3 linked regions of the Mus musculus genome follow. The protein of the gene in region 3 purifies or fractionates together with the protein of the main gene of each other region. This does not show direct contact. Links are inferred from orthologs where the notes say so. Each region holds a gene or a part of one and is shown on either strand. Other genes may lie near its edges.

Region 1 (3,150 bases), on a different chromosome or scaffold from region 3:
TTTTTTTTGAGACAAGGAAGGTATATGTCCCCAGCAGAAGAGGGCATCAGATTTGTAACTGGAGTTAGAAATTGTAGGTGCTGAGAATTGAACCCAGGTCTTCTGCAAGAGCAGCCAGTGTTCTTAACCGCTGAGCCATCCCTCCAGCCTGACTCCAGCTCTGTAGAGTCAGGTGCTGGCTGTGACCTCCTGGGTGTGGTACTTCATTCCCAGGGTCTGAGGACATCCATGGGTCTGAAAATCACTTGGTCTTCCTCAGCACTTGTATTCGGAAAGACAGAGGAATGAATGACCCTCAGGAGCACAGTGAAGGCAGAGTTTTAAAGCCACTCTCACAGGGTGGGGTGGCATGACTCCTGGGTGTGGATGGTGCTTGTGCATTTATTTCTATCCTTCCTGTGTGAATCTGTGTGTGGCCATCAGCATACCATTTGCAGGAGTCAGCTCTCTCCTGCACATGGGTTCCCAATGCCTACCAGAGCCCTCAGGCCCCACCGTACCCCTCCCCTCCACCTAGGTCACAAACAGCAGGGACTGGCCCGATGCAGATACAGAAGGCCTGGACACAGACATGGCATCAGATGGGCTTTTGTCTGTTTATTTTTCTTTCATATAAAAGTTGCGCGCTTGTTCTGTCTGTAGGAAGATGCACTGTCAGACAGGTTAGTGGGGGGTTTATATTACAGTGCCACACTGGGAGGCATGGAACAGGTGTCTCGGCTTAAGGGCCAGCCAGATCCGGTGTTTGCTTGCCTTACCCACAGGTAATGGCTGGCCTCTGCTGGGAACCCAACTGTCCATGTTGCTTAGTATGTATACAAAGACGAATCTTCACAGCTCTCCCAGACCCCACCACTAAGAAACAGACATGTGGAAGCCAGGCTGCCTGAACACTGGGCTCAGTCGCAGCCAGAGGCAGGTGACTGGGGAAGCCTGCTGGCTAATAAGTTAAACCCACACATCGCACCTCGATATCCCCACACGGAAACTCCAGAGCTGTCCTGGCTCTTGACTTAGTCTGCCTAAGGCTCCCAGGATCATAGGAGGGCCTGGTGATTCTGGGTCTAGAAGGTAAGCCCTCCTTTCTGCCCAGCTCATGCTTGGGAACCAGTAGACATAGACCATAGACCCACTCTGTTGGCTGCAGCACCAGTAGGCTAGGCCTCAGGTAGGCCTGTGCTACACAGGGAGGCTGCAGGGGCCTCTACAGCGCTGGGAGGAAGGACCTCATGTGCAGTGTTCCCCACTTGCACACAGCAGCACTTAGAGCTGGTGAAGGACAGGAAGCAGGGGCAAAGACTGAAATGAAAGGACCTGTAAAAGAGGAACAAACCAAAGACCCACATGACTGCTCACAAGCCGGACTCCACACACACACTCCTTAAACAATCCAATTCCGGCTGCCACCAGAGGGAGCTGACCAAGGGGCTGTTTACAGATGTCCCCTCTCTATTTACAGCACAAATAAACAGAAGAGGGGCCCACAGTTCTTATTTGATAAAAGCTGCTAAAAAAACAAACCCCGAAACCCAGGAGGGTTCAGAGTGACAGTTGTTTCAAACGAGTACCCGGCCAGCAGCTGCTGCTGTCTTTTCTTCTGCTCTGCGGACTGGTTGAGGAAGCAGAGATCCTGGTATTCGTTTGACCAAGCCCCACGACCAGAAGAAAAGGGAGCTTGTCCATGCAAAGCTAATTGGAGGTATGGTGCAGGGCCAGCAGCACCTCTGGATTCTGAACTGCACCCTGCCATTTAGCCCACAGTGGTGGCCACAGGGCCATGCCCAGGGAGATCCTAGCCCTGAGCCCTGAACAGATTGTCAACCTCAGCAGCAGGGGGTGGCTCTGCCACCTGTCTGGAATCAGGAAACCTCTGGAGGCCCTCACGTCCTAGGCCTGCTTAGACTTCTTGGGAACAGACACTCCCAGAGAGCAAACGGGGACTAGGAACCTGCTGGCTGCGGGGGGTGGGGCAAAATAGGAGGGAAGCCCACAGGCCTGGAAGGAACAGGAGATGGCATTTAAGGCACACAGCAAGCACGGAGGGGCTGCTTGCCTCTCCCTAGGTCACTGAAGATCCTTATTCACTCTCTGAAGCACAGTCTTGGCCCCAGCTCAGCATGAACTGTCCCTTCTGCCTCCTCTTCCCGATCCCCAGAGTACCGGTGATGTGGGCTGGGGCTGGGGCTGGGGCTGGGGCTGGACCAGTGGTGGGCGACAGGTGCTACTGGTGCTGCTGCTGTCAGCCCAGCAGGTGCCTTGGTTAGTGGCCGTGCATGGCAGGACAGAGCTGGGGCCACTGCTGTGAGAAGTGTCAGCTCTGTGGCTCTTGCCTACCACCCACCATACTTTCTGGGCCAGGTTGACATGCCTCTCCCTCCATGTTTAAAAAGCAGGAAGTGGGCAGCACAAGATGCCTGCGTGGTCCCTTTCTACCTTCTTCTGTCTCCCAGCCATAGCTCCCCTGGCTCCAGGGTCCCGGAGGGCAGTCTACCCAAGGGTCCTGGGGCCCCTACTTATCTGCCACTTAAGGAGGCTAGGGTGGCCTGGGGACAGTGAAGCCCGCCATTCCCCTGGTCTGCTGCTCAGGTGTCTGCTGCTCTCCAGCTGCAGGGGAGAGGAGGGAACAGGAGGGAGCACTGACAGAAAACAGAAAACAAAACCAGACCAGGGGCCACCAGTACACAAGCCAGCCCTGAGGCCTGCCAGCCAGCTCATTGTGAACCCTGGGACTTTAGCCATAGGGAAGGAGGCAGGAGACCGGCCAGGAGACTCAGGTGCTGCCACACAGCCAGGCATGGACAGGCTGAGGCTGGGATGGTCCAGGTCCTCTCCTGGCTGCTTGAGCGTTCTCACAGCCAGCCTGCTCCTAGGTCTTCTCTTCGCGGTCTGTTTTCCGCCTTGTTATGTTCCTAGGCTTGATCTTCAGAGAGAGTTCCCACAGGGCTTCCTCGGCCAGGTGGTCACTGAAGTCATTGAAGAAATTTATGATGTCGTCGTTTCTCCGGATTTCATAGTGCCTGGTGGGAGAGGGGCAGTCAGAGAGCCCAGGACTAGCTGAGTAGCCAGGCCAGAACCTCTCACAGGGTGGCTCCTCACAGCCATCTGCCTGGTAGGGTCACTGCTACCTAGCCCAAAGCGCTCAGTACCAGA
Region 2 (2,371 bases), on a different chromosome or scaffold from region 3:
CAGTTCCTTCCACTTCTTTGTCTTCTCAAAAGGTGGCCATCTCCAGCAAGGAACGCTTAAACAGCTGAGCATTTCTGGACAGGTCTGTCACCTGGTGCACCATTTCCTGCAAGGCGGTGGTACTGGGGTAGTGGAGGGCGGCCATTTTGGTCGCCATCACTATCGTCTTGAGCTGTTCGCAGAGCTGGTTGCTGGAGTTCCTGACTTTGTTGCGAATGTCCTGGGCAGCCACCTGCCTTGTCAGAGTGTCTCCAATGAACACCAGTTTGTGCGCACTAAGAATGACAAACTTGCTGTGCGCCACAAAGATCCGTGGGGGTTGGGCTGAGCTGACGCAGCTGAAGAGGGCGTCGATGGCGTTGAGTAGGGAAATGAAATGGGTCTCGCACTGGTCATAGTAGAAGCAAAGCAACTGCCTATCCTGAGCACCCACACTGTTGTTGGTGGTTGGGAGGCTCTGAGAGGGCTTCCATTTAGAGATGTCATTCTCCACAGGCTTGGTGATCTCTTGTTCCAACAGCTGGAACTGACTCAGCTAAAAGGAAGAGAACAGGTTTCATTAAGGGCAAGGCATACATTGTAAAGGGAAAGAAATATGGGTGTGGGGTCAAAAGATATCAGCTTCATCTTTAGTAGATGCCAGGTACCTAGGAGCTGTGAGACCTTATCCAGGATGCCTTGCTTCCTAAATTGTGCAACGTGGACACTGGGAAGAGGATCCCTAGGGGATCCTCCAGCATAGATCTTCTGTTATGACACCATTTGTCTTTTTTTGCACTCTAACTGGAAGGCAACAGCCTTACCTTCTAAGGCCATTATGAGGGCTCAATAAAATACTATTATTCACAAAGTGAATATTATCATTATTATTCGCAAAGTGTTTGTACCGGTGTTTGGTGAGTTGTAGGCTCTATTTAATTTTTTTTAAAATAATGTTGGGAGGCAGCAAGGGAAAAGCAGATGTAGTGACCTTTCTGTTTGTTACTTCCTGGGTAAGGCCTTTCTTCAAGATGGAAAGTTCATGAAGATTCTCTCTCCTATTTGCACTGTTAAGATGGACACATTGTGGTCTGTTACTGCCGAGAACTCTTAGAAATGGCGTAGGGAAAATGACACAACAAAGAAATCTCAGCATTTCTAATTTGCCGTATTTTATAGCATGCATGTGTAGGTCAGAGGACTCTTCATGGGTGCTGGTTCTCTTCTCCTGTGTGGTTTCTAAGACTCCAACTCCGGTCATCAGGGTGGCAATAAGTGCCCTTACACAGAACCATCTCAACAGTCCTAGGACCAGATTTCTTGATGCTATCATTAGCATCCCTAACTGGACTGTTCTTTCGAATAGAAATGATAATTTCTAGCTATGTTACTAAGAATACTGATTTTGGGAGTCAGTTAATCTTTCATCCTGACTCAGAGCCGAGTCAGCTCAGGGACACCCTCATCTTGCTTCCTTGCTAAGAAGTGCATAGTCGATTTTCTATTCCATGGAAACTACTTGCTTCCTAGGAATTACCTTAGTGTCCGCTAGCTTTCCCAAACTCTGCTGTCCTATTGGGCCGACTGCCAATATAAGCATAGCAGATACAGGGTGGTGTCTTAATATTATTTGATAATTATGAATTTGATTTCAAATCATGTGTCTGTAGAGGGTAGTACTTTTCCATTTTATCGAGAGGGAACTGGCCCATTACAGTGATGTTCAAGTCTACACAGCTGTTGGCTGGAAAACTCTGATTTGCTAGAGACATCTTGTCACTTCATGTTGTGATATGCCATTTCATTTCATCTTAAAGTGCATATAAATCTTTAGTCCATTTCTCTTTGTTTTCGTATCCTTGGCTTCACAATACCTAGCCTTACCTGCTATACAAACTAAACCTTTGAGTGAACACCCCCTGCTCAGAACTCTTGGTAAATGGACTTATATATGTCTGATAGACATTGGCTCCTTCCCTCTGACCCTTAGACTGGACCATACAAAAGACAGGGAGAGGGGTGGGGTCTAGGGGAGAGTTAGACTCAAACTCTCTTAGGAGTTTGATAAGCACAAAAGGGAGTTGACCATTATCTAAGGAATCCTAGATGAAGTGACATCTACAGAGGTTTTGAAGTTGGGCTCAATGCACACACCTGCAAGGCCAATAGTCAAAAGGTTGAGGCAGGAGAATACCAACTTTGAAACCAGCCTGGACTGCATTGTGAAAACTTATCTCAAAGCATTACAGAATACCACAAAGCCCTATAGGAAGGGCTTTGAGTGGCCATTTATGAGTCAAAGTTATATGTGAACCGAGTGAAGTGATTGGAGAAAATGTTGGAGAGTAGAGAAGAAGGCAGATACTGGAAGAGAACATCAAGAATACAGTCC
Region 3 (2,556 bases):
AGTTCCATGTCACCATGTCTGTCCTTTTTCATGCATTCTGGAGATGAAATTCAAACCCTTACATTGTCATGGCAAGCACTTCAACGCCTTCTCCCACGGAACTTCTCACCAGCTCTAGATTGTTTTTGTTTGCTGTAGTGGTCTTTTAGTATGAAATGCTTTAACACATTTGTGCAGGGGTCATGCTAATTATCTCTGTATCATTTCAGTTTTACATAAATATACTGTCAGAGCAAGATGGTTTTATTAAGTCCGTGCTGGTCTCAAACTGAAGGTCCTCTTAGCCTCCTGTGTGTTGTCTGTGGGGATTATAAGCACCACACCTGGCTACTTCCCACTTTCCTCCCAAGACAGGGTTGCTCTGTGTAAGCCATTGGCTGTCCTGGAACTCGCTCTGTCCATGAGGCTGACTCAGAGATCTGCCTGCCTCTGCCTCCCAAAGACTGGGATTGAAGGTATGTGCCACCAGTCCGCACTTCTTACCCTTTTATTCAGCTTAACATGCACGTTCTTAGAGTTGGATGCTCATACATGTCCATTTATTAGTAACGCTGGAGGGAGTGGCTGCTCTGTGTTCAGAGGCTGCTTCCTGAGTTTTTGCCAGCGACAGGTATCCTGGGTGGTTGGTGGCATCTCGTGTCTTTGTACTACTTGATTTTTGTATAGACAGTGTTTGTGATTTAATGTAAACTGTCTTCCTTGTTTGTAGTGATGCTAATTTTGTTTTCTTTCCCTCTTCCCTTACAGGTTGGTGACATTGTGAAAGTCACAAGGATGAATATCAATGGCCAATGGGAAGGCGAGGTGAATGGGCGCAAGGGGCTTTTCCCCTTCACACATGTTAAAATCTTTGACCCTCAGAACCCCGATGACAACGAGTGATTGCTGTGCTGTCCCTGCTGCTGCCTCCTTCTGCCTGTCAGTCTCCTTTGAAGTGGGAAGCACTCTGTCACATGCAAGTTACACCGAGCTGCTGGCGGTCAGCTTTCCATACATTGGCAGTCCCTGCACATACGGAATGCCTCAGCAGCTGCCTTGCTCGCTGGCTCGGCATTTGTATCATAGTCATGCTGTCAAAGAGTAGCTGATTTAGAGTTCTTGTGGATTGTGAACTGGAAACACTGGTGGAAGCACACAGTAGAGACTGGAACCCAGAGCAGCTCTTCCTTCCCATCCATCACTGCCTTGTTTGTACTGGAGGCTGACAGAGAGAGCAAGCAAGCCTGCTGATGGTCTGCATGGAGACGGTGAGGCTTGGCAAGGTCTCGCTTTGCTGGTCCACAGAACAGTGGTTTTGCCACCAACTCAGTTTTCTTTGGACGACAGAGGAAGTAAAACTCCAGACAATTCTGTCCCGAACTCCTCAAGTCTGGCTGGTTTTCATTTTCTTTTGTTTAGTTTTGTTTTTTGGAAGACTAATTAATTATAGTTGTGTGTTCTGAACAGATTTTTAAATAGTAGGTTGGTCTATGATGGTCTAAGGAACAATCCATGTCTCTGAGCTTCCAAACTGAAGCCACTGTACGTAACTAAAATAGGAAAAGACCCCCTCCAGGGGCCTTTATCTTTTGGTTGCCACAGTACCTTGTTTACCATGTGGCAAACAGTGCACAGCAGCAGTCATGGTGTACCTTGCTGTGAAGCACCAAGGTGGGGGTGGGCCTGCTGTCATCGCTGCCTCTGACAGGAGCAGACAGGGTGGGCCTCTTCAGTGAAAACGTTTGAAGTCTGTGGGCTTACTAGATCCGTGAGTTAAATTGCATTGCTGTGTTCCACCACAGAGGCCACCCAGCCCTTCCTGTACTGACCTAGCTTGTCCAGGCAGCTTGAGAGTGGTGTCTGTTCTGGTTCCACAGCCTGAGTAGAACCAGAATACAGTGCTTCTGAGCAAAAGAAGACGCCCCTCGATCATGAGCCATTTTTCCTTGCATGTCAGCTACTACAGATATGTGTCTGATCCCTCATCCACACATGGCAAACCAGAGCTCTAGAACCTTTCTAGAGTGCACTCTTTTCAGTTGGACCCTGATGAGGATACACCTCCACACAGAACGAACGTAGCAGACCTAGAGATGGAGTAGTGGCTAGTGAGCAGCTCTAGCATTTACAGAATATCTTCTGTAACCATGGCCCTGGTTCTGCAGGCCTGAGGCTTTGAGAACTAATGGAACATATTCAGGTGACAAAACCAACAAAACCCTTTGTCCACTATATTTATTTCTCTTAAAGACTTTAAATTTTTGTTTATGTTGGGCATGGTGGACACACCTTTAATCCCAGTACTCAGAAAGGCAAAGGCAAGTGGATCTCTGAGAGTTCAAGGCTATCCTGATCTATGTAGTGTGTCACAGGACAGGCAGGCCTACATACATACCTTGTATCAGAAGATGGCCCAATCCCCCCCTCAGACCTCCCCCCAAAAAAAACTGTATATGGGTGTTTCCACTACATGTATGTATGTGTATCACATGGGTAGTTTGTTAGGAGGCCAGAAAAGGGTGTTGGTTGGATCCTCTGGAACTGTGGAGTTACTCTGTGGGTTCTAGGAATTGAACC

The links. The genes of interacting proteins can lie anywhere in the genome.
Region 1: the proteins of Crkl (region 3) and Rapgef1 purify together in Homo sapiens (affinity purification with western blotting; 16 studies listed by BioGRID and IntAct, with this or other methods). This does not show direct contact. The link is inferred for Mus musculus from reciprocal best matches to the Homo sapiens genes CRKL and RAPGEF1.
Region 2: the proteins of Crkl (region 3) and Nedd9 purify together in Homo sapiens (affinity purification with western blotting; 4 studies listed by BioGRID). This does not show direct contact. The link is inferred for Mus musculus from reciprocal best matches to the Homo sapiens genes CRKL and NEDD9.

What each region holds. Positions count from the first base shown.
Region 1 is NC_000068.7:29,737,787-29,740,936, reverse strand, and holds the end of Rapgef1 (rap guanine nucleotide exchange factor 1), read right to left. Parts: intron 3,018-3,150; coding exon 2,867-3,017; 3' UTR 574-2,866; downstream 1-573. UniProt on the Homo sapiens protein: Guanine nucleotide-releasing protein that binds to SH3 domain of CRK and GRB2/ASH. Transduces signals from CRK to activate RAS. Involved in cell branching and adhesion mediated by BCAR1-CRK-RAPGEF1 signaling and activation of RAP1.
Region 2 is NC_000079.6:41,311,636-41,314,006, forward strand, and holds part of Nedd9 (enhancer of filamentation 1), read right to left. Parts: intron 536-2,371; coding exon 26-535; 3' UTR 1-25. UniProt on the Homo sapiens protein: Scaffolding protein which plays a central coordinating role for tyrosine-kinase-based signaling related to cell adhesion. As a focal adhesion protein, plays a role in embryonic fibroblast migration.
Region 3 is NC_000082.6:17,482,914-17,485,469, forward strand, and holds part of Crkl (crk-like protein), read left to right. Parts: intron 1-747; coding exon 748-882; 3' UTR 883-2,556. UniProt on the Homo sapiens protein: May mediate the transduction of intracellular signals.